Linked DNA regions of Lepisosteus oculatus. The protein of the gene in region 4 purifies or fractionates together with the protein of the main gene of each other region. This does not show direct contact. Links are inferred from orthologs where the notes say so. Each region holds a gene or a part of one and is shown on either strand. Other genes may lie near its edges. The genes, in order: iqgap3, cav1, cyfip1 and rac1a.

Region 1 (7,770 bases), on a different chromosome or scaffold from region 4:
CCCAGCCCCAGGGGATCTGGGGGGCGTGCCCAGGTGGGGGTAACTGTATACGCAGGGGGCACTGACCTCTTGGCCTCCTCCAGGTGGCACAGGTACTGGTAGGCCACGCTCTGGACGCGCCGCTCGTCCATCTCCTCTGCGGTCAGGCGCTCGACTGCAAGACACCAACGCACGCCGAGTGAAAGTCGGCAGAGGGCAGGCGCTGCCCGAACACTGGCAGCGGGCGGGGGACAGGACGATCCTTCGTCCAGCAGCAAAGCAGCTGTGTTTCATGCACACACTGAAAACACGACATCAACAAAACATCTACCCCCCACATACCATATCCCTGTCACCCCACCCACACAACCGCAGCAGGCGGAAGGCGGGGTACGCCCTGGACGGGACGCCAGCTCACCGCACACACACACACACACACACACACACACACACACACGGGCCTGTTTTCCCAGGAGCTAGCCTGCCAGCGGCGAGGAAACCCACACGAACACAGGGAGAACATGCGAACTCCACACAAACAGCACCCCCGGGTCCAGAACTGACCGGCTCACCGCGGCTCCACCACAACCCTATAAACATTCTCCCCCACCATCGTGACACGAAGCCCCTATATTTACACCCCACCCTCTTCCCTGTCCCCTGACTGCACTTGGGAGAGCACTGTATGAGACACCAGGCCTGGCAGGTGACAACTGGACACCCGAACCAGACCGACCGACCCCGACTTGCATTGCCATAGGGACTGGGGGACCCCCAACGTGCCTGGGAGCTGGGATACAGCCCAACCACTGCTGTAGCTAAGAGAGTGACTGGACCACAGAGCTGGGCTGCAGCAGAACACAGGAGGGGTGTGTGTGGGCCTTCAGGATCGAAACGCTGGCCAGCGGATCAGCACGTCCGACCAGTCTGCACTGGGATTGATGATCTACAGGCTAGCCTGACTCCGGCGGCTCATGACCTGCCACGCGTTTCCTGCTCTGTGAGGGTCTGGATCTGTTCAGCCCGGGGTTCCCAATGTTCTGTCCTGTATCAGTAGCGCTGCCTAAAGGGAAACACTGTCGCGACGCGAGTCTCTTAATTAATCAGAACAACACTCGAGGCCTGGAAAGGGCCGGCAAATTGGAACGCCAGTCAATGAGCTAAGCCAGACCTGAAGGGTATTCAAGAATTTATTGATTCTTGAAATCAATAAATCACAGAGCTTGTGCTGGAGTGGGAACGAGGAACGGCCAGCTCCGAGATTCAACGCGAAAGGCAAGACATCGGGGCAGGAGGCTCGGTCCGGTTCTGGCGCTGGTCGGACCCGGATCCAGACCAAAACTCCGGTCAGATGAGCTCCTCAGCAGTGGCCCCGGAAGAGACCAGAACCGGGACCAGAACCGACCTCCCCCGGCCTGTATGCACAGCTAAAACAGTCACACACGCCGTCCTCGCATCTTAAGCGTTCCTCGGGGGGCTTTTAAACAGACCCCTCGGAACAGGAGTGTGTTTGCCGCTACCCGAACTGTATTGTTTGTATCCTGTGGACAGGAGCCCGGCTAAGGCCATCCAGTGAGGAAATAACTGTAGGAAGTCCAGTCAAGGTGTCCGTGTCACAGCAAACCAGGGAGAGCAGCGTGTGGGAAGCGGGCAGTCCGCCAGGCGCGCCTCCATTGAGCCGGCCCTCACGCCCGGCGCCCACCGCCATCCCCACGAACCGGTCTGCCCGGCGTGATTCCGAGATTCCTGGCGTGTTTCACCTGGGGGGTGATGACCGGCGTCGCCACTTCCGCTTGCAATCGTCTCCTATATATATTGTAACGCAACGGGGGCTCAGGCGGGCGCCCTTGCCGCATTAGGTCACTCAACAGGGACCCAGCCCGGTGAACCAAAGAGAGATCTCTCTACAGCCCAGTAGCTGTAGTCCTGCTATCACAGGGAAGGGCGGTGACGTCACCTGCTCTGGTACGCCGGCTCTTACACAGAACCTGTCGGCCGTAAGCGTTACACTATATATTTGTTTTTTAGGGAAGGTGCGACGTCTGCCGGAAACGGGAGAAATCAAAGTCGTGCCCCGGTGCTGTCAGAAGGTAAAAGCGCTTCACGCGTGGAGGTGTTTGGCCTCGGGTGCGAACTTCAAGAGCGCTCGACACCCCCCCCCACCCGAACCTCCAGTCACGGACGGCGCGGGCTGTGTCGCGGGCGGCAGAGCCTCAGGGAGAGGAACTCCGAACCGAATCCGACACCGACGGGCCCACTGCAGTCCGGCCGGGGCCGCCCGGTCCCGCTGCTCGACCTGAACACTGAAGTCCAGTTCCAGACTCAGCCGCCATTCCTCTCCCAGCTCTGAGAGCCGTGCAGGTGAAACACTGGGACGGCTTTGCTTTCACAAGGATATTTCGTTGCAGTGCGAAAACATCCCCTCAAACAGCCGAGCTTGTCAGGGACGCGCAGGGCAGCTTAAATGACATTGTTTATGCCAATACAGCACAATCTCCCACAGACCCCTACTGAACTTTTATATCCGTCTCTACGGCCCCCAGGCGAAATCGTCTTTACAACTAATTTCGGAATCTAGTAATTAAAAAAAAACGGGAATAAATCCTGACCTAATTTTGACATTAAAAATGTTTCTTGTTATTAGTTATACAGGCGTGGTGACTTACATGCCGAACGCGTTTGTCCCTCGCAATCGTCCATATTCCTTGTCAGCCTGTACCGCGTCCACTCAACGCCAAAAAAACAACAGGTTTCCTCTTTTTCCCCACAAACAAACTCGGTGCTCACTGGCTAATTCGCAATATGCCTCTTTTAGGAAGAAAATTCCTTTGCTTCAGTCATTCTAAGAAATAACTTAAGAGAAAACCGGGAGAGAAACGCGATATCGCTGGCACAACAAAGTTCTGTTAATTTTCCGTGTGCCTCCTGTTTGAATATCCCGCCGTCTGCCGGGATAAGACAGCGCCGCTCCCATTGGTCGGGATCCAGGTGGGCGGAGGCCCACCGCCTCGCCTTTGAATTATGGGAGATGTAGTCTTTTTTTGGGACCCCTTCTTGTGGTTGGGCTGGGAAGCTAGATCAGACTTTGGAGAACACACGGCTCGCATTTTCACCGCTTTCGGAAGGGCGTGTTTTCCTTACGAAATCAGGACCCGAGCTGCGAAGCTGCCCCCTTTGGACCGTGTTTTATAATCCAAGGTGGCCGCCCGTCTTGCTCCCGGCCCGGCGGCTCTAGCGGGCTTGCGAGCGAACTGGTTGCTGGGGCAACCGAGGTAAACCGAGCACGCGGAAACCGATACACCCGCGCAACAACACGGAGCCCAGGCTGCGGTCAGAGCATCGCGAAATGATGCAAAACCGAGCTCGATAAAGACGTCAAAAAAACTCTCTACTAATCAACCTGAAAAGAGATGGGAGGACTTCTGTAAGTACAGTACAATGGGCTGAGTTCTGTAATGCAATTCGTCGCAGGAGAGCGATTCCTAACTAAGGAAATACAGCTTGTTCTCTTTGGCTACCAGCTCTTGTAGTGTCTTTAAAGACACCTCTGCCTGGCAACTAAACAGGACAGGAGCGGCCGCGAAATTTACATCCCTACATGATAGTTTTAATAATTCACATTGCAACGCTACGGGGTTCACGTGGGTATGCGCCCTCGCCGCTGCCGCCTCCAGTCGGGGCGCATACCCACCGTTAGGGACTCGAACCCGGACCTCCGGTGACACTCAACAGCGACCCAGCCTGTTGACCCATAGAGAGATCTCCCGGTCCCTGCCATTCACAGGGAAGGGCGGTGACGTCACCGCAATGGAGGCTGTATGCGTTACAATATCAAAGGCTGGTATAATGCAGTCTTGGGCTGTAAGAGCCGAGCTGTCTTGAGTTACAGTGTAAGCTGTGAAGCGCGGTGTCTGCAGGAGCGCCGCGGGGTCAGTGTGAGAGCAGGCCGACAGCGAGGGCGGACACCCCGCCCTGTCTCTGGAGACCGGGGGCGCTGGCCGGGTGACGCGGGGCTCGGCGGCCGCTGAGCGGGGCCACGGCCCCAGCGAGAACGGTGTGCGGGATTCCTTTTCCACACACCAGAGAAGCTTGGTTTGCAAAAAAACAAAAGACACAGCAGCAAAGTCACCGAGCAAGTAAAAGTAAAAAAGAGGTGTATTCTTCCGGCGGTTTCTTAATCTTACTGCGAAATTGAAACCTTTTATTCCACAGCTAGGAAATACAGTGTCTGAGGTTTAAAGAACTGACCTGCATCAACGATTTTTGAGAAGGGGTGCGAGAGCCTATATTGAGCACTGAAGAACTACAGACTGCTGTTCAGGTCAAGAAGCAGTCCTGTAGGGTGTCAGTAATCCAGAGCACTCGCCACTATACCGCAGTGTAACACCACCTGTATCTGAAATGTCAATTTACAGCTGAGATTTGCCTTTTCGTTTGTATGATTCCGGAAAATACACTGATGAGAAAACTCTTATGAGCTACATTTACCTCGCTGCCTTCCTGATATACTCTAGGCTAGAAATACATGGCTAAATATTTGTGCCTTGTATTTGTCCTCCTGTTTTTCTCTATACAGCCAACTATTGTTGCGTGCCCCATATTACTCAGAAAGCAGATGAACCCTGTGTCTCAGGAGGGCTACATCATGTTAAGATGCAGTATACTGTCTCTGTTTGGGTTTTACAAGCACCCTGTCGGTGTTAGTGTGCCTTGTGTCTGCTTGTGTGAAATGTCGCTCTGTGTTTCCGGCGCTAGATGGTGACCCACCGTAACTGGGCCTTGATGTCGCGGCGTGGCCTGGCCCTGGTCTAATGGCGTCAGATGAGGTGACAGTGGCCCCCCAGGCCTCATCCTCAGCTGATCATGATCCCAGGGGCCACAGGAAAAAAGGCAGGGCCCAGTCAGAGAGGGGTAGCGGGGGAGCTGAGCTCTCAAAGGCCCGGGCAGAGATCGAGGAGCTGACCGCCGCTGGACACCAGGCCTTGCTCCGGGGCGACAGACCTGAGGCGCTGGCCTGCTTCAAAAAGGCTTTCCTGGCCTCCTTGCAGGTGGGTGGGTTGCAGCAGCCTCACGCAGTTCGACCGCCAGCACCTGGGCAGACTTGGCCTCCATCTGATAACATCTGTGACAAAACACCAGGCACAAAATAGAGCAGGCACAAACACACTTTCAGGCAACAAACACATCCTCTTTGGGGAACATAGCCTTGTGCATCATGAGGAGCCTGATACAGACATTTAGACCGCAGATATGGAAGTACTTTGGGAGAACCGGGCAGAACCACAGACGGGCGCTGTGCCTATTTTAATATTGCAGGTTATGATAACAGTACTTTTAGGCAACCAGTAAACACAACAGGCAGACATCAGGAGAACTGTATCACAACTATATGATGCTTTTCTGGACACTCCACTCAAAGCATTGCAGGTAATGAGGATCTTCTCCATCCACACCAGTGTGTATCCCCCACCTGGATGATGCGCCAGTCCGCTCCCCACACACCAGCTCTCAGTGGGGAGGAGAGCAGAGTGATGAAGCCAGTTCAGAGAGGGGGGTTATTAGGAGGCCATGACTGGTAAAGGCCAGGGGGAAATTTGACCAGGACACCAGGGTAACACCCCTACTCTTTTCAAGAAACACCCTGGGATTTTTAACGACCATGAAGAGTTAGGACCTCGGTTTTATGTCTCATCCGAAGGACAGCGCCTGTTTACAGTTTAGTGTCCCCGTCACTATATTGGGGCATTGGGACCCATACAGACCGCAGGGTGAGCGCCCCCTACTGGCCACACTAGCACCTCTTCCAGCAGCAGCCTTAGCTTTCCCAGGAGTCTCCCCTCCAGGTACTGGCCAGGCTCACACCTGCTGAGCTCCAGGGGGCTGCCAGGGCGGCAGGGTGGTCCAGCAGGAATGGACCTGAGGGGGTCAGCCCGGCTGACGCCGCTCTCTTGTGCCCACAGTGCAAGGACAGCCGCGCGCACAGGGCCTGCGCCTTCAACCTGGGCGCCGCCTACGTGGAAGCCGGCAAAGCACAGAAGGGGCTGGAGTTCCTGCGGCGCGGCTCGCCCGCCGAGGGGGGGTCCCGGCGGGCCGACCTGCACTTCAACCTGGGGGCGGCCCACGAGGCCCTGGGGGAGGCCGGCCAGGCCGCCGAGCACTACGGTCAGGCCGCGCGGCTGTACCGGGAGCAGGAGGGCGAGGAGCTCAGCGAGGCCGACGCCTGGATGAAGCTCGCCGGCTGCAGCCTGCACAGTGAGGTCAGAGCTTGGACCCCACCAGCACCCCACAAGGGATGCAAGCAAGGAGGGGTTCCTCTCGTTGGGTTGTCCAGGGTGTCCTGTAGTACATTGATGGACAATGGGAGCTGTTGGGGTTTCCAAAAGTGGAGTTCTCAAATTTGATCTCATAGGTGGGGGGACGTTTAGTGATCCCAACAGCATGATTGGGTAGTTTGCTGCAGCCACCCACAACCCTTTGCGTACAGAAGTACTTCTCTGGTTTTCAGCCCCGAATGTGTAGTTAGTTCTTTTTCGTGGCCCGGAGGGGAGCAGGTCTAATGGCCCCATCGCTCCCTGCCTTCCCTCTGCCCTTAAAAAAGAGATGAGGAGTTACTGCCACCGCCAGTGAGGTGCCACCTCTGGCTCCCGCCTTAGGTCAGAGGATCAGAGTCCCGGTCCAAGACGCGGGACTGCTGCACGGAACCGGTACCACCTGCTTGTCTCTCCTGCTCCGTCACGCCAAATAGGCCTCCTGGGCTGCAGGATTTAGAAGCAGCAGGGAAGTTTAATAACAGATAAGATAACATTTTATTGTCCCCTGAGGGATTTTTTATGGACACCCAGCACTCCTGTACATTGAATTAGAATGCAAACTAAAAAAAAAAGAGAAGAAAAGAAAAACATTGCACATTATTCTATTACAAAAAACAAGAAAAACATTGCACTCTATTGCACACGTACAGTATAACACATAACAGCACGTATCATTTCTGACACATCACTAAACATATCGCACTCAAGTGGGTTGTAAGAGTCGGAATTGTGTTTATCCTGGACATTTGCGTTGACGACTGAACCGCGCAGTGAAGACCAGGGGAGGCAGCCTGCCGGTCTCGGAGCGCACAGCCGGCCCAGAACGCGAGAAACCCCACAGAGCCCATTCCGCACAATCCGTCCGCTCGGGCGCGGAGGGCTCATCGCTCCGAGACCCGCCCAGCGTGTCCGTCTGCTCTCTCCCGGCTCCGCAGGACTGGGCGGAGGCAGCTCGGGGTTTCCAGGAAGCGGGCCGGAGCTACAGGGCGGCGGGCCGGCCGGAGTCGGCCGCCGTGGCGCTGCGGGAGGCCGGGAGCTACATGCTGCGGAGCCGGGCCTTCAGCGAGGAGGACGTCCTGACCGCGCTGCGAGGCTGCTGGGAGCTGGGCGAGAGCGTCCAGGACCAGCGGGAACGGGGTGAGCGTCCTTGGGGACCCCCGGGGGAAGAGGGGTTGCGGGTTTCTCAGGGCTCCGCAGGAGTGCCGCGCCAAAACACGGCAGCTCGTTCACCCTCGCACTCTCTTCCAAGGGCCAGCTCTTCCGATACTGCGGTTCAGGAATGGAATCTGTTTTCTGTTATACACACATGCCATTTGGAATGGGCAGCTGGCTGGGCTCTCCAAAAATGGCTCCCGCGCTCAGTCGAGGGCGAGAGGGACGCTCTCCTCTGACCTGCCCACGCGTAGAGACACGCCCCGTTTCACCTGTCCCGAGCCCAACCCAGCCCGATCAAAGCGTTTCATAGTGGTGCCCCCTCAAG
Region 2 (7,889 bases), on a different chromosome or scaffold from region 4:
TTCAAAACAGCAGATTGCTCAATTATTTCCAGTAACATCCTAGCCTCTATGGGATCCACCATAAAACAGTCTTAGGCTTCAGCACAGGTGTTAAATATTTACCTTACTTTAAGTCCCGGATGTTTCATTATTTGTTTTTCTAGTCCTAAAACTCAAATCATTCACCTGAAAGGAGGATTTGGAGTTCTGAAATGTAATTATTTTGAATTATTCAACCGTGGTGAGCCCGAGGCATTCTACAGGTGCCGTTTCTTACTTTTGGATTTCATCGATCCATCTATTCTCTTCTTCCAATTCAGGGTCATAGGGGAGCAGGAGACTATGTTGGCAAGCAAGAGGCACAAGGCACAGTTCACTCTGGACGGGATGCCAGTCCATCAAAGTGCAGACACACAGACACTCAAGCACACACTTGCACCAGGGCCAATTTTTTTACAAGAAGCCAATTAACCTCGCACTATATTTTTTGGACTGTGGGTGGAAACCAAAGCACTCAGAGGAAACCCATATGGGAATACAGGAAGAACATACAAACTCCACCAAATAGCACTCCAAGGTCGAAAGTGAACCCAGGGTCAAGGCACTGCAAGACAGCAGTGCTAATAACTTGTAATTTGTCTTTGTCTTTATTCAATTAATAAATGTGTTTTCTGATTTTAAAAAATGCAATTGACAAGAAATGAATACGTGCGCGAGAGACATTTAAGGAGTATGCACGCAAAGGAGTATTTGCATGTTCAAAACAGTAAAACTGGCATCTCCATTTAAAAGTCAAATACACATTCAATTTCTTAAAATAAGTACCCTTCACTGGAAAACTGCACTAAATTTAACCATTCCGTCAACAAAATACTGGGCACCAACCAATGTCAAAGCAAGAATACAGAACACCACTGAGTATTTTCAAAGAATTCCCGTTCTTCAACATACAACACAAATGAACACCATTCTGCTTGAAGTGTAGTGAAATAAATACATATTTTTAATTCAACTTTAGTCTACGACAGAATATGATAGAAAACAAACCACTCCAAATCTTCAGTCGTTTATTTTCGCAGTATGACATTCCTTCAACGTGCAGGATGTACACTTTAGAAAACGTTTGCTCACGGTGCAAGCAGGGTCGGTTTGAAAAGTCCGATTTCGGAGTCGACTACAGTATGTACGGCTGCTTGCTGCGCTCATTTACTGTACGTTTGAGTGTTGGATCGTTCGTCAGCTCACGGATGATTTATTTTCTCCTTCTAAATAATGTTTCAGTGACAAGTCAGTGACATACCAAAGGGATTGCATTGACTCCATTAAAGATAAAATAATTCAAAAACTGTGTTTCTCCTCGCAGGATATAGGCATATATATATAATTAATATATATATATAATTATAGGGACATCACATAGGGTTTTTTAATGTATTGTTTTATTAATTTATGGGCACTCGATAGAACTTTAAAAGCCGTCGAAATTCCAAGGATAAAGGACCTCAGGACCTCTAGTAGATGCAGCACGTAAAAATTCACATACCAACAAGAAAGAAACACAATCTTTCACAAGTTCAAAGATATGGAACATATCAGAACTTCGATGAAAGTTGTCTTAAACTTTTCTTATTACTATACTGAAACGTCACATTTCCCTTTCTACAAGTGCATATGTACCAAGTACCGTGACCATTAAAACGTTAAAACATAAACACCTGTTCGCCACACATACTGTACAAACCCTGTTTCTCAGTTAATATTTCAAATCTTTAACGGGGATGTAACATGCGCACCCACGTACCTTCACCACATCGTCGTTTAAGTGTTTGGGATCCCGGTTAACCAGGTCGATTTCTTTAGTGTGAACATCGTGCATCGCTTTTTCGTTCATACTGTCGTTATCCATGCTCTTGTTGTTCGGCTTGTAGATATTTCCTTGCTTCCTAATGAATGGCGAGTGAAGAAATCCCTATAATCCCGATGGAGAAGAAAAATAAAACTGAATCAAAAAAATCAAATCAAAAGCGGACAACTTGCAGAAGAGCAATGAGTTTGCAGCGCGTCTCAGCCTGGGATGGGTTTAAGTGCATAAAATATAGCACCACACCCCTCTGAACTACGAGTCTCGCACTCACCACAAGGGGTCATCTACAAACACTTTGACTCCAGATCAAACTCCCAAAAAAAGAAAAGAAAATCCAAAATAGATCGTCTTTTGAAAAACGGTATGATTTAATGGCAGAAAAAAAACATCTACCACCCAAGTATACAAAAAAAAAACAACATTAAAAATTAAAACAACTGCAGCTGATTTTCAGAACAGTGAACAAACAGGTCTTACAGGAGCTCACCTATATGGGTAATAGGCATGATCATTTTTAAGATAAAAAGAAAGCACAAGACCAGTTACGTTAATGCATAGATTTCTGAATGCAATATCAAAATTAACGGCAGTTGCCTTGAAGCATAAAAATACCAGACCGTGTCAGAAAAAACAGATCAAAGGTTTGCCGTGTCAGAAAATAGACAAAAATAGACTACTTCTGATGCAGTTTAGTACGTCAACGTCTAAAATGAATAAAACGTTACAATTAAGAAATTATGCGTTTATAAGATAGCTATTTCGACCAAAAATAAATAACTTGTCATAAGCGCAAAGATGTCAATACAAGATGACATAGAGACCTGTTAAGAAGCAAGTATTTAGCGATATGTGTACACAGTGTATGTAAACAGTTTGAATCGGTCACTTTAAATTGAAAGCTATAACCCTTCAACAAACGTCTTAAACGCAGTGCAGTCCCGAAAGCTCGCTTTAACACAGCGTACCTCTGATTCCTCGTCCTTGATACCACCAGTCATACTGTCCTGAACCTGAAATGTGATCAGATTAGGATTTCTCGGCAATACAATAACTTTTTGAAGGAAGCAAGAGAGCAGAATAGGCGTGGGGTTTGATGGTACTGGCGGGACTCCAGGGTTTGTGCTGTGTTAGTCAGGATGACATCAAATCCTTACATGTTTTAACGTACTGTATTGACAGGAGGCTCGCGAAGTACGGTCAATGATTAGCCGGACAGTTAAAAGCTGCACCGAGCATCCTGTCTCTGCAGCAAACCAACCGAGACGCACAGATGCAGAAGTGTTTCCCCCCCCCTACTTTTAATGTGCCAGAAACTGCAACCATCCATTAGCCTGTCACTCAAGAGAACTGAAAATAACTGGAGCAGGATCCGACAGAACTGTAATACTGTATAATTAAGAATCGCGCAGCCCTGTGGGGAACAGAAATGTTCGTTAATGCTTTCCAAACTCGGTGAACGAGTTAACACACCTGCCTCTGGTCTGATGGTCGCAACCGATGTTGACGGTCCAGTCTGTTTACATTCCCAGAGATTAGTTCCACTGGCTGGGACACCTTAAACCTTGTTTAAATGTCTCCTTGCCTTTATTAATCTCACTGTGCAGGGACTTGCAACCAGAAGCCTACAGTGTGTTTTATTGGTTATGGGTTATGTGATATAAACCAGGCCTGTTTCCGTCTTTACCGATAGCAGTAGAAAATTGTATTAAAATGTTCCCATTCTTATTCAGTTCTCATCATTACACAACTATGGGTATAATGAATCCCCAGGAGCTTCATTTCACATTTGTTTAAATTAGAATTGAAACAAGACCTATGAAAAGAACCCCTATGCATTTGTGAGCAAATTTAGATTAAAATTATCTTTTTGTAGTTTCAATTTGGTGGAAACTCATTGGCAGCACACCAGCTTTGCCCAATTCCTGCCCATTATTCTTGGCATTTAGTTCAAGGTGGTTGGTCACTTATGGACAGCAGTTCTCAATAGGATTCAAGTCAGGACTTTGGGGTTTCTCAAACCAATATAGTGTAGCTTTGGCTTTGTTGTTTGGATTATGGTACTACTAAAATGTGAATTTTTGCCCCAGTTTATGGTTTAAAGCACATTTTCCAGTGTGGTCTGAGGTAATATTTGTCTCCATCTACTGTACATTACCTTGAGTCTTGATAAGCTTTCCAGTCCCTGCCGATGAGAAGCAGAACTATAACATAATGCTGCCACCACTGTGCTTGACTGAGTGATGCAATATGTTGGGTTTGCATCATGTCACGCCCGCCAGCCAGCGGAGCTCAACTCATAAGAGACCTTACCAATACCAGCAGCGGGTTAATAATAATAAGAAGCGCCGCTGCACGTGTTAATACATCAGCACACGCTCTACTGTGGGACAGGCAGCACTATTTATACCATCCAAACCCGCATCCAGCTGCTCGGTATGGAGTCTTCTCGTAGAGAGCTCCACCTCACAGTTATTTCAACCTTGCTTACTATACGTCTCCAGGATTCTGAACTACCCTTTTGCCTCTCGACCTTGAACCTCGCCTTCTGATTTGGATTGTTTGCCTCTATATTATCTTTCGCCTTTCGACCGCATTCTCGCCTGACGTTCCAGGTTGTATGCATGTCTCGATATCTACCTGCTCCTGCATCTGCATAGGATCTGCATACCTCTTCATTGGGGATTCCTTACACATCAGATCTAAAGCTTTGCATTTAGAGCTTAGACTTGAGTGCTTTGTTGTTTACCCCCACCTAGAGTGTGACTTGAATATCATTGACTTCAGTTGAGCTTGTTAGCTCTTTCAAAGTCACCATTGGCCACACAGTTACATTTCTAACCACTTGTCCTTGCCCAGCTGCTTCGTTTGGAGGGACAACCTCATCTAGGCAGTGTCTGAATGTCTTCCACTTCTTAACGATTGACTCCAGCATGTTCAAAGAGATTTTAAAGGTCTCTGAAATGTTTTTATATTCTTCTCCTGATCTGTGTCTTTCTACAACTTTATCCATGAGTTATTTTGAAAAGCTCCATGGTCTTCATAGTGGAATATGTTCTTGGAATTTGAGATACTTCACAGAGAGGTGGGTTTACTCTAAAATTATGTGAACCACTATTATCGCATGGAAATATGGGCCTCTAAACTAATTTCGTGTGCCCAGATTAATTTAGGTTTCCCAGCACAAAATGCTGGAATACTTATACAATCATAACTTCTATTTACTTATTTTTTTTGTTTGTTTTTTGCTTTGGATGTAAGTCGTGTACATAAGAAAGTTTTAATTGCTGTGTCAAAGTGTCCTGATTGCAACAAAATATGAACACTGTGCAAACATCTGAATACTTCTGCTGGCACTGTATATACAAGAGTGAAGGAGAGTTTTTGTTTCAGATATATCAGTCATTAATAATAAGGGTTTGCTTTCTTCAGGCCATTGTACTGTGTTCAACCTTCCTCCGTGCTAAGCAACCCCTTTTCTAGTTATTAATTATTGTGTGTATATTTGTGGATCTAAGAAGCATAAATAAAGCATAAACATGATGGATCTGTGATAAGAACATATTATGTAAGCCTGTTGCAGTGCAAAAAAAGAATAAGCATAATTATACATCACTTTTTGCAGATACCTTTGGGTCTGGGGACAAGGAAGGTACTTTAAACAAGTGCCTTGTACCCCAGTACTGAAAGATATGGGTGCACGTTGTTGCCTAGTTGCTTTGCAACTGGGGCAGTGATCTTTATATTCAAATGATGGCAGAGTTTTCTGAAGTGCAGTCCAATTGGCCCTTTCAAGATTTCTGCGCTCTGACAGGATGATGGCAATACCCTCTAGGCCATCAAGAGAAGGCAAGTATAGCACTTACAACACAGCAACTGTGAGACCAATTGGAGAGCAATGTTTTATCATGTCTCAACCAAATCATATGCCTTTGCCCTGTTAAAAGCAACATCTCATTCCCCTTCCCCCAGAAAGACAGTAGTAAACTTGTGCGCTGTACTCTTTATAATGAGGTGGTAGCAAGTAAAGCCAAAGGAATGTTTGGGACTCATGAAGCAATCCTTATGAGATGGGTGGAATCTGTTCTTTCATGTTGTGCATCTGTACCTGTGCTTTTGTTTGTACTTCTCTATCCTCTTTAATTTTGGAATGATCCTTCACTACCATGGGGAATCAGGACTGCAGATTGAAGGGAACCACAACTGTACTTGGCTGGCCAGCAAGTTCTTCCCACCCAACACTGAAATAAGAATAACCTTCAGGTACTGGAGTGGCTGTATGTTCGGGCCAGTGCTTTTGCATTTACACTAATGTGTAAGCCAGTTCTTATTCTCTAACAAGGTTATTCATATACAGAAGATATATAGATTGTGCGATTGAGACAGTTGAAAAGAAGGAACTCACTTCCTTTAATGAACTCAAGAGATAAGGCACCTTGTCAGCCTGATATTCTGCATTAATACAAAACAAAGCAATGTTAGCTGACAGAGTGAATATTATACATCTAAGGATGATTGTGAATGTCATTCCTCCAGAAATATCTCTTCATTAATCAAAATCGAGAATCCTTGATCAACCAAACCATATTTCTACAATGGTAAACTAAATTGTTTCTTTTAAACATTACTTTCAGTTAAAGCCTAAGGAAGTGGATAAGAAGTGTTTAGTCTAGTGAGGAATTATTATGAAGCACCGGAAAAAAATGCACCTAACCAAAAATATAAATTGTATAGATAATTATTAATCAAAACCTTTCTCAAGGTTTGTCATTTCTTTTCCATTTTTTTTATTTTAAAATAACACAATGTAATATCCTCCAGTATGTTTCAGTTGAGGAAAAAAACAGCAATGCACATTAAGAGATATTTAAATGAATAATTTATTTGTAAAATATAATAATCTTGTGGATATTATTTTCTCAATTAAAAATGTGCTTTAGCTTTATTATATACATCTGAGGCAAAAGAAAAGGTATACAGTTTTTTTCAAATCATTTAAAAGTATATAATTGGCTACATAATTTTAAAATTAGCATAAATAACTACCGTATGTCTAATACAATTACACAGAAGAAGATAACAGTAAAACCTCCTTTGCCTTCTTTTTCAGTACCCTTCCAAGACAAATGTACAGAATCACACATGTAATAGAATCTGAAATATTAAATTTAATCTGAGAAACACAAAATGAAATAGTTCTTTTTGGTTACACAAACTTTATGTGCCCTGTTACGTTACAGCATGTAAAACTATCAATATGCTCACAATGTTTCCCTATAATCTCCATTATTATTTTTTAAAGAATATAATAATGTAATGATATAAATAGAAAAAAATAAACTTATTTCTACTGCTTCTTTTGGACTTAGCTGTAAGGGGTAAATATGAGGTTTCTGTGACCTGCAATATGTGAGTAGTGGGTTTTTTAATTACTCGGGTTAGTTACAGACTTATTTTTTTATTCTCTGTACTGTAAGTCAGAGCAAATAAAAACCCCTTGATACAGGCTGTATTCACACTTCTTTTTAAGGGAGCTCTCTTTTGTCAGTACAGTAGATGTTGCTTGGCACAATTGTTTATTGATTATTAATTGTTTATTAATTAGCAACTTCTTTCATGTGGTTCCATTGCAAATCAAGAAACCAAAAGAGGACATTCTTAAAATATTAAGACTGAACATGAGATTAAACTGAGAAGGGTGTCTTTAGTTTAAAACTAAGTGATGTGGGAAAGTGTAAATCCTTTAAAACTAATAGTCATTTTTAATATTTTCATATTGCTTTCTTTAGAATGTAGAAACGAGTGACCTTCAACCATGTTTTCAGATCCAGCTCAATTTTTTGGTTGATATTAGGAGATGTTCTGTTAACCATGTTGCCTAAAATACTTTCTGAGCTTGAATTCTAGCAAGGTGCGTTTAGAGAGAAAGTTTGATTACATTTTCCTCTTATGTTACTTTTTAGGCCTTACGGTCAACTCTTAGATTATTACACTAGCAAAACCAAATATACAATCACATTTAGAAAAAAGAAAACTAAAAGCAAGCCCC
Region 3 (7,823 bases), on a different chromosome or scaffold from region 4:
CACTCACTGCCGTATCACCCTGGGAAGAAAATAGGAAGAAACTAGACCATCTGAAATGCTCACCGCCCATTAGAACCATTCATCATTCACCACACTGCAAGCACAGGAGCCAACACACAGTACCTTACAGGAGAACCAGCAGTGATTGGAGAAGCAGAACATTTCCCACTGGGTTTGCTTGGGCCTGCCAAATAACAAGAGCTACAGTTTCATGGAATGCAGAGACCATGTTGACCATGTTAATGTTAACTGTGGCACAAAGACTCTTGGCCTTCATTACAGATGATTTTTGTGCTCTGATTTTCAGTAGTCTTTTGTCTAGCCTTTGGGTGTAAAGACACGCTTTAACAGCTCAGTGGTGGAATGTATGGAACACCTTAACCCCACAAAAGGGGACGTTTTTGTCAAGTAACAAACAGGAGAACAACTGATACTTAAGTTTGAGCCAGCATCTTATTGTTCCTGTTTAGGTGCAGGAGTATTAAAATACTTTCTGTATGTTTTAAACAGCAGTATATTCTTTCTGTCAGATTTTGCACAGCACAGGCTTAGAGTTTCAGCACCAAGTGGAAGAGGCTAAAGACTTGGACCAGCTGATTAAAATCCATTACAGATACCTCTCCACCATTCACGACCGCTGTCTTCTCCGAGAGAAGGTAGGTCTTGCACTCTGTTAACTCACAACTACTAAGGGACACTGAATTTCCTTGAAGTCTACTGTGCTTTTTATGAAAGAGGAGGTGTAATTCAGATGCATGTTCTCCACTTGTCCATATTGCTCTTGAACTGTACTTTTCCATATATACTGTAGGTAAACCTATGGTTGTACTGGAGTCTGTCCCGAGAAAAGCAACCTGATACACCCCTGGACTCAAAACAACATCTTTACACAGACAGGCTGAAGGAACTGAACCTTTTCAGTGTTCAAAATCCTCAAAGACCCTGACAACCTCAACCCAGCAGGTTTCTCAAGAATGAACACTGAACCACAAACTAGAGGGGACAAGTAGAAACTATATGGAAGTGTTTTTAAAAACAAGAACAGGAGGCATGTCTTTATCCAATGGGTTGTAGCATTGTAGGATAAGCTACCTATCCCAAGTAGTTTAATGAGAACTTCAATGCTATTATTATATTTGGGGTTAATAAAGAATCGGCATTGATGAGTGCATTTCAAACCAAAATGAAAGAAAAATGTATACAATAATGAGTAAAACCTCCAATTTACTTCACAAAATAGCTGAATTTTCCAGGTATGCGCATCACCATGTTCTGCGATTCAGGACAAGGCAACAAAACTTCCGGTGAACTGAAGTGACCCCTATTACTTTGTACACGAGCAGGCTTGTGAATAAATCACTTTTAGTCCAATAGAAATATTGCTCTTGACTTTGAGACGGTTTTGCTGACAAATACTACTTACTTGTTAACTCTGCATGCAGATCAGGTTGGAACATTTCTGCAGTGAAATGTCCCCGTCACAACTTGTACTCATTCACTCGTACATCGCATTACATCAGTCATTATGGTGACTAGTGAGCAAGAAGGGCCACATCACGTCACAATACTTGTGAACTCTCGCTATTACCCCTGGTGAGACCAGAGATTTGTGATAAAATGGCGACTTCCAGTACTTTCACAAAGTTCACAATTTTGTGCTTATTTTGTGCTTATGTGTAAAATTGTTCTATAACATTTAATAATTTAAATACCGGTCTTAGAAATTGGGACTGCAATTTCCCTTTAAGCCTTTTTCATACATCCTGACTTCTTTCAAGAAATGGCTGGATGAGATCCTTACATGAGTTAACTACTGACTACCGAGTGGTATCTTCTCATCTGCAACCCGTCTTATGTTGCTTTGTGTCTTATTGTATTGTGACATGTAAAACACAGAAATGGTGGACTATAGAATCCATAGTTAAATGATTGTTGGAGCAAAAGACAAACGTAGCAATGACTACAATTTTCAGAAAAAAAGTAAAATAAACTTTTTTGCTTGGCAATGCGTTTTGCAGGTTAGTTTTGTGAAGGAGGCAATAATGAAGGTGCTGAATCTCGCCCTGATGTTCTCAGATCGGTGGCAGGCAGGCTTTGGTGCCTGGAAGTAAGTATTAAAACCCTTAATGAAACGCAAGCATGTATTGGTTTGATTTCTCAGTAAATAATACCATGTTAACTGGACATTTGTCTGTGTTTTCTATAATTAAAAACACCAGGATATTCTACTGTAGGCAAGGTGGTGGTTGTCCAAGATCAAACAGTGAAAGAAGCAAATAGTTGTCAAACTTGCCGGAAATAAATGATTGAGTTTGAGTTACTGAGCTAAAATACAGATATTTATGAGGTATTTTTAGACAGGAAGTATTTTGCTCTAAGAAAGGTTTTCCAAATTATATTTAATTTAGCTTAGAAATGCATTGGAACATCAGAACCATAAGAAACTGTTTCACATTTGTTTTAAATGAGTGTGTATACAGTATATGTGTGTTTTTTCTAACGAAGCCTTTTCAGAGAAACTACAAATGTGCAGTGAAATCTTTAGTTGTTAATATAACATTGATACTTTTTTTTTCAAATTAATCTTGGAACTCTTTGCATTTCTAGGATTGAGTCTATTGATAAGATGGAGTCAGATTTCAAGAACTGTCACATGTTCTTGGTAACTATACTCAACAAAGCTGTCTGCAGGGGCTCCTTTCCACACTGTGAGTCATACAGAAAGCGAATTAAATGTTTTATTGGCAATTCAGTTTCTGCTGTTTGTAAAGAGTGAATGAGCCAAAGTTAATCAGATGTTTCACTGGTCATATTCTGCTTTGTGATTAACTGGCAAAAGTTATCAATTAAAAGTTTAAAATTGTTTTTATCTGCAATGTATGATGTCTCTGAATTAGTTTTTGTCAACTGTATTATGTGATCACTGATAATGACAGGTACAGCATCTTCTAGTCTTAAACAGAAGCAGTGTATCAGTGATTAAAACAGTTTGTACCAAAATAATTAAAAGTAATGGAAAAGGGTTTCAGCTGTAGCATTAGTTAGTTCCACTATGTGCAAGCACTAAGGGTTGTTAGAGTATCTGCTCTATCCAGCCCTGTTGCTGAAGCCCCTTCTTCCAAGACAAAAAAAGGCTGCATGAGATCTTTGGATTGATTTGCTAATAACTATCAAACAGATAGATCTCAAGGCCACCTCTTGTTTGCAACTTATTCTTTTTATTGGTAAAAGAGCTAAGAAAAGCACAGCATTGTATGATTTTTGTGTTCTCTAATTTGGTTCTTCTCACTCCTCTTTTCAGTGGAGTCCTTGGCTCTGTCTCTGATGGCTGGCTTTGAGCAGTGTTGAGGATGAGCTACAGAAAGCTGTGAAGCTCCTTGCATCGCTTTGAGCCATTACAGATCCTCAAGAATCATGGAATGTCTGCAAGGCATTCTTTCACAATGCTTATTTTTTCTTTCGTGGCCATCTGGATTTCAAACATCAAAGTGCAAGGGAAGCCCTTTCCGACAACAGGCCTCTGACTTTATTTCTGCTTAGCAAATGCAACAAGGACAGACGTTTGCTACTGTTTCTTGTGCTCTTGGGAGAAAAAAGTGCTCAGTTGCTACTGGAGTATCTTAAATACCCTTCACCTCGGGTGCTCATATTGAGACACTGAAGGCAATAAGAAAACAGGGTACTGAAAATGTAAATATAGTTTTTTGCTGTCTTTGAGATGTGCTGTTTTTGCTCATAATTCACTATTTACAAAAGTGATTGTATAGCAGAGTGAATTAGACTTTTGTTTGCACAATAAATTCTGCTCTCTTAATAAAACCTGCACTGTTTTGAAGAGTCAAATTCTTGCACCTGTTTTTGTTTTTATGACAAGAAAGAACTTTGAGTTAATCTTCCCCTCATTTATTTTTTTCTTGTTATCTGTAAAATCCAAATTGGGGGAGAGAATATGAAGGGTATCCTGTGTTTTGTTGACCATATTAGGCAGCAGCTATGTCACCCTGCAGCTCACAGATGGTCAGGACCTGGATAACGGACATCCTGGGAAAAACTAAGGTTGCTGCTGGAACAGGTATTAGAGGGGCCCGTAGGGGGCGCTCACCCTGTGGTCTGTATGGGTCCTAATGCCCCAGTATAGTGATGGGGACTCTATATTGTAAAAAGGCACCGTCCTTCGGCTGAGACGTAAAACCGAGGATCTTGACTCTCTGCTGTCATTAAAAATCCCTGGGCGTTTCTTGAAAAGAGTAGGGGTGTGTTACCCTGGGGTCCTGGCCAAATTTCCCCCTGGTCTTTACCAGTCGTGGCCTCCTAATAATCACCATCACCTTGTTCTCCTCCCCAATGTTAGCTGGTGAGTGCTCACCATATTGGTGCACTATGGTTGCTGTTGCATCATCCAGGTGAAGCTGCACATTGGTGGTGGTGGAGGGGAGACAAATTAATTTATAACAATGAATTAATAACAAATGGAACTCTGCAGTGAAGGACCTGAAGAAATGAATCATATGGTTGATAATTTCATAGTTATTACTACTCTTCATAGGGTGTGTTTTATTTAGGTTTAAAATGGGATTTGATTCATTTTTTTAAAATTCAATTTTATCCTTAAAAACCGGATTTATTTAAAGACTTTAACGATTTGCCAGTTACTTGACTTGGGCGTATACCGGCCAGCCCATTTAATCTCAGGGCTGAGGGTGGGGGGGGGTTGTTTATTCATCGCCCTCTGGTGGTTCCCTGGCATCCTGAATCCGCAGCGCCCCCAAGCGGCACGACGCTGCAAAGCGCCGCGGCGGAGGGTTTCCTGTCCCACTTCTCCCTGAGAGTCGCAGACAGGAACTCCCAGCTCGGGCTCAGAGCCGAGGTTGGTGTCAGCTGCTGCAGGGATCCTCCGCAACAGGAAGACGGCCGCCCGGACCAAGCTAAAAGTTTCCAGAGAAAGGCCGAAGCGGAGGGAGGTGGCTCTCTTACAGACGGGTTTCGCAGCGCTCCGCTCCCGCTGAATGGGATTTCTGTCCTGAGCGCTCACCATTTCCCAGGAAAACAAGACTGGGTTACGCTTAGGTAGGAAAGTTTGTGTTGTTTCGCTTTGGGTGTTGCCTCTACCCCCCACATGCTGGGCTTTTTAACTTGCGCGCTGCGTGGATTTGTAAGCGGTTTTCTGCCTACGGGCTTTGGGTCGGATTCTGTAGACTTCGTTCTGGGCTGGTGGGCTGCCTGAGCGAGCCGTGCCCCCCCCGTCCAGCCCCGGTGGCGGCAGTGGGATCCTCCCGGGCCTGACCGCTGGGTCGCACCGCTTTGGGAAACTTCGTAGAGCCGGAGCCCCGCCTAGCCTAGCCTAGCCTAGCCTGCGCTGCTCGCGGAATCGCCAGGAAAAACCGCACGTCTTCCCCGGGATTCAGCCTCGGAATTGGGTAAACTGGAAGTTCAAGCCCCCCCCCCATCTTTCGAAGTGTTTCGAAAACTTTTCTTTCCGTGCTACAGCTGAGGCTCGAAACGTCTTCGAGAGACTTGCGTCGCTCCGGCTGCTCCGTGAGCCGAGGAACTTCTAACGCGATGGCAGAGCGACTATTTTAGTGTGGCATAAAAGTTTTTGTCGTAAGTTGTAATTGATACTCATGCTAGCTGCTTTACACCGTGCCTGCGCTTCCTGGGAGACTGCAATTAGAGAGTAGCATTTAGCTGTGTGATTTCAAGTTAATCGTTTTAGTATGGTTAACGCCTTGGACATCTTGCGTTTTTTTTTTTAAATTTGAGGTCTGAAAAGTTAATATCATGGTAAAGATATAGTTTTTGGTGCCTGGGTAACTACCTTGATGGTGGTGCGCTTCCTTTCAAAAATGCAGAATTAAGATTCATAGTACACGGAGGTCACATAGAAGTTTTATATTTGATACTGTAAATATGGAGCTGGTAGCCCAAACACGGGAGAAAAACCGTCGAACTCTGTACAGTTTCATGCGTTAATTGGTTAATAGATATTTCCTACCGACTATAAAAAACATTCCAGGTGGGGGAAAAAAAACAAACGAGCCTGGTTATCTACGTGTCCCTGCAGTCGTAAGAACAGTATTGAGAAAGCACCGCTGTGCTGACTTGCTTCAGACAGCAGCCCTGTGATTTAAAACTGCAGGGGAATGTGCCCTGATGAAATCCTTTCAAGAATACAGCCCGTAATGGATTGCGAGCTGCCTGCTTTTTAACTTCGTAATGCGAATATTCAGCTCGTTTTCAGATTTTTATTCCACTTGGGTCATGAAGGGGAACTATCGGTGTAAAGTTTTCTTACACCCTTTTGTGAAAGCTGTGGCAATGCATTAATATTACTAACTTTTATATGGCACTTAAAAAGTTATTTAAGTACCTTTTTATTTTAATTTTTCCCTGGTATTGTACCGGAGAACCGTTATTTTTTATCTAATGTTTTAAGGGTGCTGTGATAGCTTTGGATACGGGTTAGATCTGTACAATGCAATTTCCTGCTCGTTGGCTAGGAGGGTGTAATAATAGTGTTTCTAGAATTTATCTAGCATTATACCACAAATGATTTGTTGGGAGTTGATTTGCACCCAAAGTGGGTAATAGAGCCTTCTCACATCTCTCAAACTCGCTGCTTTAATCCGTCACGGACTCTGTGACTGTTGAGATTTTTATATCTCATTTAAACTTTTTTTTATTAAAGTAATGGCTGTATAATTCAGTTTTACATGGTCAGTTTTTTATGTGCCTTTCTTTTTTCAAAGTTCTATTTTATGTATTAAACATATGCTGTTCTATAGCGCTCGTCAATAAATTAGTACTAATATCACAGCTTCTAGTCTTTACATAGCTTCTGTCTGTATTTATGTTTTTTTTTTTGGTCTTTTCTAAAACACTTTGAACGTCCAGGCTGTGATTTGTGTGTTGTGGTAAATTATTTGTGTGTTGCGCACAAGGTAAAGAGCAGAGTTTGTGTCTGCTTTTGTGGTGTGCAGCTGCAGATAAGCAAAGATCTAGACCTGAAGGTCTCTCCATTGTTTTAATTTTTCCTTCCTTGGGAGTTGAGTTAAATAATGGTGTTTGTCTGTGTCTATAGCTGCTCCGTACGTTCACTGCTGCACCAGTGAGAAAGAAACCCCTGTGTGTGGGTGGTTCCAGCACAGTTTACAGTGTGACAGACATTCATTCTCACCTACACGCCCACTCGTGAGTGGGGGTTCTCTCAGACCAATTTCTTCGGCAGATTCTCCTTCACTTTTTTTTTTGATTTTACGGTGCATTTGGCTTTTGAGGAGTTTCACTTTTTTTATTTCTTTTGATTTTCGTCAGTGTTTTACACGTTTGCCTGGATTTCTGATCTGCGCTGCCTTTTTGTTCCGCCGCTGAAAAGGTGTTTTGGAGGAAGAAGGTTCCAGTTTTGGACAAGGGTAATTATACCTCTCTGATAGACCCACCCTGCTGTGTGGTAATGAGGGTTTCTTTGGTGAATAGGGTACTCATTTAATGAGTGAAGAATTCCAAGCGGGCATTTTCTTCTGCTATATCAAACCTGGCTGATCTCACAAGGGGGTGAGAGGTAATTACGCTGGTTAGGTACCTGGTGGTTTAAGCTTCTAGCACAAAAGAGGAAACATTTGTTAGAACACTTGCAAAAGAGATACTGAAGGTAAATTGACCACAACATTGCAAATTGCAGCATTTGAGTTCTGATTCAAACCAAGAAAGAGCGACTCTACCCCCGTAGGTTCTTTGTATAATAGGATTATTGCAGAGAACGTTCAGTACCGCTGGCATTTCAAATCAATTGAAAAACCGAACTAGTAAAAAAAATATCTGCATTG
Region 4 (7,643 bases):
GATGGCGGCGGTCCACCACTTCAGGCCGTACCTGTTCGGGACCCGGTTCCGGCTGAGGACCGACCATGCGTCCCTCACCTGGCTGCTCCACTTTAAGGAGCCAGAGGGACAGATGGCGCGATGGATAGAGATCCTGCAGGAGTACGACTTCACTGTCGTGCACCGTGCGGGGTCTCGCCATCTCAATGCCGACGCTCTCTCGCGGCGCCCCTGCGAGGCCGCGGACTGCCATCACTGCGCCCGGCGGGAGCAGCGTGAGGAGGCTGTCCGCACCGTGGCGGGGGTGAGCGCCGCGGCCACGGCCCGGGAGGGGCCGCTGGGGGTGGGCCTGCCAGACCTGGCGCAGCGTCAGGCAGCTGATCCTGACGTGGGCCCGGTGCTCCGCTGGAGGGCAGCAGGAGTGCGGCCTACACGAGAGGAGCTCGCCCCGCACCCGAAGTCCGTCAAGGCCCTCTGCGCCCTGTGGGAGGCCTTGGAGGTAAAGGACGGGGTGCTGCGCCGGGGGTGGCGGGTACCCTCCAGTGGCGAGGTACGGTGGCAGCTGGTGGTGCCTCGGTCGCTCCGCGGGGCGGTGCTCCGAGCGGTGCACGGCCAACCGGGTGTGGGGCACTTCGGCGGTAAAAAAACCCTGCAGCGTCTCCGAGGCCATTTTTATTGGGGTCTTTGCCACCGGGACGTGGAGCGGTACTGCCGAACGTGTGCGGTGTGCGTGGCGCAGAAGGGTCCCCCCGAGCGCTCTCGGGCCCCCCTCCAACAACACCAGGTGGGGGCTCCTATGGAGCGGGTGGGAGTGGACGTTTTGGGCCCGTTTCCGCGCACCGAGGCCGGGAACCGCTACGTCTTGGTGGCTATGGATTACTTTACGAAGTGGCCGGAGGCCTACGCCCTCCCGGACCAGAGTGCCCCCACGGTGGCCGATGCACTGCTGGAGGGGATGTTTGCCAGGCTGGGGGTGCCGGAGGAGTTACACAGTGACCAGGGGCGTAACTTCGAGTCCCAGGTCTTCGCCAGAGTGTGCCAGCGCCTGGGGATTACTAAGACGCGGACCACCCCGCTGCATCCCCAGAGCGACGGGTTGGTAGAGCGGTTTAATCGGACGCTCGCCACCCAGCTGGCCACCCTGGTGTCCCGGCACCAACGGGACTGGGACCGCCACCTCCCCCTTGCGCTCTGGGCGTATCGGACCGCGGTCCAGGAATCCACCGGGTGCACCCCGGCCTCGCTCATGCTGGGCCGGGAAATGCGAACACCGGTGGACCTGGTCTTCGGCCTGCCGCCCGGAGACGGGTCGGCACCGCCGGCTGGACCGGACTACGAGTGGGACCTGCGGCAGCGGATGCAGCGGGTGCACAGCTTTGCACGGACCCACCTGACACAGGCGGGGGTCCGGCAGAAGCGGTACTACGACCTGCGCTGCAGGGGGCCTGCCTTCCAGCCCGGGGACTCGGTTTGGGTGTACAACCCGCGGCGCCGCAAAGGCCTCAGTCCTAAGCTGGCGCCGTCGTGGGAGGGGCCCGCTGAGGTACTCGGGGTGGTGGGCGAGGTCTGCTACCGTGTCCGGTTGCGAACACGGGGGAGAGTGGTGGTCCTGCACCGAGACCGCCTGGCCCCCTACCGGGCCCGGGAGGAGGAGCCGTGTGGGGAGGCTCCAGAGGAGCAGCCGGGGCCGGAGCCGGCCGATAGTGGGGCGTCCGTGGATCGCCAGCCGTCACCGCGGCGCAGCGGCCGCTCACGCAGGGTTCCGCAGCAGTTGGCCGAATACGAGTACAGCCTGAGGGGGGTGTTCGACGTCGGCGAGACGCCAGACGCTTCAGGTGGGGGCAGTGTAACGCCCTCGCCTGGTGGTGAGGAGGAAGCGCCCCTAGGCGCTCGTAGTACCGCTGGGCATGCTGGGAGTGGTAGCCGGGAAGAGTCTGAGGGTCAGCACGATGACCAGCGGCTGACCCTGCCTGTGTAAATAATGTCCTAGTAATTCTAGTACCCTGTGTAGTCCTGTAAAAGTAGAGTGTGTTGTTAGGTAATTACCACCCTAAATGTGTGTACGTGTTCGTCAGACTCCTCATGTTTGTGTAGATCCTGTGTTTGGTTTTGGTGTGGTTGTAAAATAAAGCCAGTGCTTGGTTAATCGCGTCTCCACTGTTCTTTAGTTCTGAGAAAGAACCTGCAATACGCTACAATATGTATAAAACTGACATAAAAGCAAGCAAATGAAACGAAGGCATGCATATTGGACTTGGACACTGACGTTGCTTAAAAGGGGATGAAAGCAAACTGCTTTTCTTAATCCTCGATTTCTGGGCAGATGTTCCAGAAAAGCTCTGGACATAAAACACCACATAATTACAAACTTTACATTTAAAATTGAGATGTGCCTTCACCGCATTTATTCAAAGGAGATTCGTAAATGGGTGGTGTCGATAAATGCAGCGACTGATATGTTAAAACTCTGTGTCACGATCAGAAATGCTCTTCCCTGCTATCACAGCTAAGTTCATCCGCGATTTTCTCCTACAGGGGGGAAATGTCATTTATAGCAAAGGGAAATTATTTAACACGAGCAGAAATCGCTCCGGCCGTGACGTATTCGCGTTTGTCAGAAACTACAGTATATTCTAAGACAAAAAAAAAACACTCCCGTGATGTCACTCTTACCTGTGGCGTAGGTAAGAGAGAAATCGCTCACCTGTAATCGCACATTGAACATCATTGAGGCTATGAGGTAGAGGTAGGGAAAACGGATCCTTAGCCGCCAGGCTAGATCGAAAAAGATTAATAAAGTCCTCGTCAGACCTTTGGAAAACACTCCGTAAGTCCTGCCGGCGGACCCCGGAAGCCTCAACGCCAGCTGAGACAGACCCGCCATACAAAAGACAGGGCACACACCCCTCCCGAAACAGTGTCCGTAATGTCACCAGGGCGTCTGACAGAACCCGCGACCCATCGGCGCTGTTCCTGCTGAACACGGTTCACATCTCTTCCCTCTGAAGCGCCACTCTCTCGGATATTTCGGGAATCGGTAACGCTGTGACAGAAGCGGACTGTTTCACCATTCTCGGTCAGCCGGAGCGATATAGTGAGACACACGGATGCGCAGCCTTGCGCTGACTTCCTGTGGCTCTCCGAACCATGTGTCGTCTCTAAAAATAGGCACCGCCGCGTAGTATTTTTAAACCTGGCTTATTTCGTTCTCAAAAAATACATTCATATCCCGCCGGAGTGATCAGACGAACAAGTTGAATCAGACGAACAAGTTTTGAGCGTTTCTTTATCGCTTTCTCCTGTAGAAGCGATAGTCATAGTTTAAATGTATTAGCGCAATGGGAATTAACTTGCATTAAAAACCCGTTAAAACTGAATCAGCCAATTTAACATATATGAATACGGTTAATACTTTTCAAGAACCTTTACACCATAAGATTTCTACAGTGATACGTGGGTAGATTAATTTAGAAGGAATTATTGGACAGAGGCAGGCTGCGTTATCATTTATGCGGTACTCTATTGGAAGATCGGCGTACGAAATTAACTACTGTTGCTAACCGTTGCTCACAGCGTTACCATAAACTCACTGAATGGGCCTGTCTTAGTTACAGCAGTGGAAGACCAGTGTCGGCTGAAATATAATAGGCGTATGTTTAAGAGGAAGGGGTGACAGACTGTTATTCTTTTGAAATGTGTAGTTTAAATCTCAACCATTTCAACAACGAATTTCTGAGATCTGTCTCCATACGAACTTGTTTGCCTTAAGATGAGGTCAAAGTAATAAATACAGGAAAAGCAATTGTGCGCGTCTGCCTCCCTGCATCAGATTCGGTGTCTTTTTTCAGTCTGTGAAGAAGAATTTCTGTTAGTGTTGTTGTAAACCAACATCCAGTATGGGATGAGCCCTACCTCTTGTACGAAGCGCTACTGGATCCCAGTGTGTACAGGAATATATGGGATACAGACTCTTTCGTTATTTCTTATCAATGACTCTCCCACAGATGTCAGTGGTGGCGTGTTCCCACCCAATACGCTCAGGCAGACCTTCAGACTTCAAACAGGCGGCTGATTCTCATCTCTTTTCATTTCGTGTGTGTTTTTCATGTTTCTGCACATGCAGGTCCTATATCATTTGTGTCCCCAGCTCTCAGGGGGACACTGATCAGGTCTGATGTCCATATGTTCATACAGGCAGCATTCCTTTTAAGGAACAATTTGTGTTGAGGAATTCTCTGATTAACTCGAGAGACAGCCTTCCATGCATTATTGTCAGCTTATTGCATCCAACTCATTTTCTTAGGAAAATGAAATGTTGGGGTCTCCCACTTGAAACAGCCCGTATGAGGAGAAAAACACAACAAAGATGAGACTCTCGGGATCTCGAAACTACTGAAACCGCTCAGCCTGGTGCTCCGGGCGAATCGCCTCCCACACGTGTCGGGACAAACTCCCCCCTCCTCTTGAACGCGCGCCCCCGCGCCCCCAGCTCCAAGAGCCCTCCTCGCCCCCGCGAAGAGAGCAGCGTGCGCGCCCGGCTGCCCCGCCCCGCCCCGCTTGTGGCTCTGCGCTCCCGTCGCCGAGCCGGCGGTCCTCGGGAAGCCAGGAGGCGTGCGCGCTCACGCCGCTGGAGGGCCGGCGCTCGTCCCCTGGATCCACGGGACAACAGGAGAGGCCGGAAGTGACTCGCAGGGAGCTGGGAGCTACAGTTTCTGTTGTCTAGGGCCGGAGTTTTTTTTTTCCCCGCTTAAAGCTTCAGCTCCGACTTTTTTTTTCCTTCCTTTGGGGTGGTGGCTGTTTGCTCAAGTTCCAGTCGGACGCGACACAGGGAGTCGGCGTGTTGCGTGTTGCTGTTCGCGCTTCAGTGGCGGTTTTGCGTTTGGCTTGTCTTAATTTGATCTTCTCCCCCTCCCACACACACACACTTCCAGGACCCGGTCGGGCTTGCCTCGGTGTCGTGACTGAAGTGGGGAGAAGCTTTCTGTTCGGTTTTCTCTCCTTTTTTTTCCCCCCTCTTCCTCCCTCCCTCCCTTTTTTTTGTGGGGGGGGGTTGTTTTGCTTTTGGAAAGGGGAGGAAAAGCAACTTCGCGGGAACAAAGACGGGTCTGTTCTTGCACCCGAACCGGCAGCTGACGTGACCCGGAGACGGACCGGACCGGACCGGACCGATGCAGGCCATCAAGTGTGTGGTTGTCGGGGACGGGTGAGTTTATCTGCGATGTTTGTCCTCTTCTCTCCCCCCCCGCCTCCAACTTCTCCTTGTTTGGAAAATGTTGGAAAACTCTCCCACACCCGCTCCCGACCCGTATTCCTGCTCGGTTTCTAGGCCGGGGGGCCGCGTTTTAAAGTCTCTCTCAATTATTTTGGGCTTGCCCGTGCTTTCCAGCCCTGAGCCGTGTCGGAAAGTAACCTGGCTGCTGGGAAGTTACCTATAATTAACTGGTCTTTCCCTCCGGAGCGCTCTTTGAAGCCGTGGCTTACGAGCTTATCAAACTTCCGTGGAGGCCGGCTAAAGTTTACCGAGTGGCCAAAAAAAACAAATCTTTTAACTGATCGGTGTTTTTTTTTTCTTTTGTATTGTCGAGTTCGCTCATGTCGATCCGTTTGCGATTGCGTCCGTTTTCTTCGCTTGGTTTGCGTTTTGATGATTAATCTCGTTTGCCGGTCATTTAATCTTAAATGAAAAGACGGTTCGGGCTTCATCTGGCCAGTTAAACGTTGTATCGAAGTTATGAGAACGGCGATCCGACTGTACTTGTTTACTACCGAAGGGTTTTTAAACATGCATGGCAGAAGTTGCTCTGTTTAAAATATGTTAAGTTACCGGGCGATTATAGATGGGAGCGCAATTGTATTTTGCAATTTAAAAACTACCTTTAGGGGTTTCATGCATTCCTGTTAGTGTTTCAGTAGATCAGCGTGTAATAGTTTCTGGTTGCTACTTATGGGCAAAGTATTTTTCGTCTCTACCGATAGCCGTTTTCACACTGCAGTTTGTCAGATACAGGTGACTTATGACATCGAACACGCCTTTAGAAAGAATCTTTGAAGTTTTTTCTGAAGTCTTTCGGTGTGTGTTGCATCAGTTCATGCTGTCTTTTGCTCTTGTATAAGCTCACCGTGCGGCTGCTGGTTGTTTAAGACTCTTAGTGTTAGTTGAAAGGAGGAGTTTAATGGTGGGTCGTTCGGCGTACTGGAGTTTGCAACTGGGCTAGAAGTTGTCCTGTCTGTGCTTGCAATGCATCAAAAACACAGGGACTGTGTGGTGTAGTTCTTCATGTCTTGGGATCTTCAGTCTTGAAGGTCCTGATTGCCTTTTCTGTTCCAGCCCGAGCAGTCAGTGAAGCTTATTAACTTTATCCTCGTAGCCGAGTTTGTTCTAAAGGCTTTTACAGTTTGCCCCATTTTTGACATGATTGGAGAGGCGCTTACCTGTGAAATACTTGGAGCCTGGTCGGAGCGTTAGTCACGCTGTTAATTAGATCAGCCATAGAGGTGGAGCCCTCATGCAGGGCAACAGGCAGGAGACCCTTCATGAACTGTTTCAGATCCTTGCTGTCGGCATTCCCTTTGTCTTAACCCTGAAGGCACAAGCACAGCAGCGCAAAGCAGGGCACTTTGTCATCTTGGATCAAAGCAAAAACTGTTTAAACTAACTCCAGCCGCAGGTTTTGATATTGATGGGGAGCTAAATCAGAAATCTTACCATTTTTGCCTCTCTTGATCTAGGCATGGTGTGCCCTGTGTGCAGTATAAGCACTAGAAGCCAAACATGGAAAACGGCAAGACTGTATAGATTTCTAAACTTAACCGTGTGTGGACTGCTTACAACTACAACTGTTTCAGGTCGCCTGTTGGATTTAGATAAGTTTCTATCAAAGCTGGTATGATTTGGAGTCACAAAATGGGCCCCAATGCTGGTGAGATTATACTTTCGGTAGCTCGTCAGATCACAGGCAACAACTTTCCAGAGCCTTCCTTGTATAAGGTAATTGAGTAATGCAGCTCATTGGTCTCCTTTATCTAATTGTGGCCTGTGTCTCTGATGTGGGTTTTACAGGAAATAGGTATAATAAGGGTCCCAGAGGTCAGGAATCTCCTGCCCTGCTTCAGGGGAGCCCCTGTCCACCAGTTTGTGGGTCTCCCTCAAATCACATTCTGAGGACATGGAACCATTTTGAGGCAATTTTGTTAGATTTAAGTAATTTAGAAATCATCTGAAATGGAAATTGTCAGTCTTCAAGGAACCAAGCTCTGTTAATTGAATACATTTCTTTATTTATTGCCCAGCAACTTAAAAGCATTCCCAGTGCTTAGAAACAGAGGTTTTTGGGAATACATATTTAGAGATGTATTGGACTGGGAGTGCCTGCAGTAGATTCTCTGTACCATTGGTGATTGAAGACTGGGAATGACCATTCTTCTCATCTGGATTTTCTTAGAAATATCAGACTTCTGTGTGTTTCCCAACTTGAATTTGGAGAGGCTTAATGTTTTGCAGTTTGCGTTGACATTTGGTTTGAACAGTGAGGATTTCTAAAGTACCTCCCATATTCTCACTATTGTTCCTTCTCGAGCAGTAAACTAGGTCAGGTCATTGCTGGTTGAGAGTGGTGTAGGATTTCAGAAGCATCAGTATAATAATGCCATTTGGTGGCATTATT

What was found.
Region 1: the proteins of rac1a (region 4) and iqgap3 purify together in Homo sapiens (affinity purification with mass spectrometry; 3 studies listed by BioGRID and IntAct, with this or other methods). This does not show direct contact. The link is inferred for Lepisosteus oculatus from reciprocal best matches to the Homo sapiens genes RAC1 and IQGAP3.
Region 2: the proteins of rac1a (region 4) and cav1 purify together in Homo sapiens (affinity purification with western blotting; 4 studies listed by BioGRID and IntAct, with this or other methods). This does not show direct contact. The link is inferred for Lepisosteus oculatus from reciprocal best matches to the Homo sapiens genes RAC1 and CAV1.
Region 3: the proteins of rac1a (region 4) and cyfip1 purify together in Homo sapiens (pull-down; 3 studies listed by BioGRID and IntAct, with this or other methods). This does not show direct contact. The link is inferred for Lepisosteus oculatus from reciprocal best matches to the Homo sapiens genes RAC1 and CYFIP1.

Annotation. Positions count from the first base shown.
Region 1 is NC_090722.1:3,450,426-3,458,195, reverse strand, and holds the start of iqgap3 (ras GTPase-activating-like protein IQGAP3), read right to left. Parts: upstream 3,003-7,770; 5' UTR 2,680-3,002; coding exon 2,646-2,679; intron 155-2,645; coding exon 67-154; intron 1-66. Other genes in the region: tetratricopeptide repeat protein 24-like, read left to right, coding at 4,791-5,027, 5,940-6,236, 7,226-7,427.
Region 2 is NC_090702.1:45,225,449-45,233,337, reverse strand, and holds the start of cav1 (caveolin-1), read right to left. Parts: upstream 3,014-7,889; 5' UTR 2,842-3,013; coding exon 2,809-2,841; intron 1,949-2,808; coding exon 1,781-1,948; intron 1-1,780. UniProt on the Homo sapiens protein: May act as a scaffolding protein within caveolar membranes. Forms a stable heterooligomeric complex with CAV2 that targets to lipid rafts and drives caveolae formation. Mediates the recruitment of CAVIN proteins (CAVIN1/2/3/4) to the caveolae.
Region 3 is NC_090710.1:22,086,460-22,094,282, forward strand, and holds the start of cyfip1 (cytoplasmic FMR1-interacting protein 1 homolog), read left to right. Parts: upstream 1-4,820; 5' UTR 4,821-5,067; intron 5,068-7,823. Other genes in the region: tubgcp5 (gamma-tubulin complex component 5), read left to right, coding at 531-656, 2,019-2,107, 2,608-2,708, 3,302-3,348. UniProt on the Homo sapiens protein: Component of the CYFIP1-EIF4E-FMR1 complex which binds to the mRNA cap and mediates translational repression. In the CYFIP1-EIF4E-FMR1 complex this subunit is an adapter between EIF4E and FMR1.
Region 4 is NC_090714.1:16,726,471-16,734,113, reverse strand, and holds the start of rac1a (ras-related C3 botulinum toxin substrate 1), read left to right. Parts: upstream 1-4,628; 5' UTR 4,629-5,147; coding exon 5,148-5,182; intron 5,183-7,643. UniProt on the Homo sapiens protein: Plasma membrane-associated small GTPase which cycles between active GTP-bound and inactive GDP-bound states.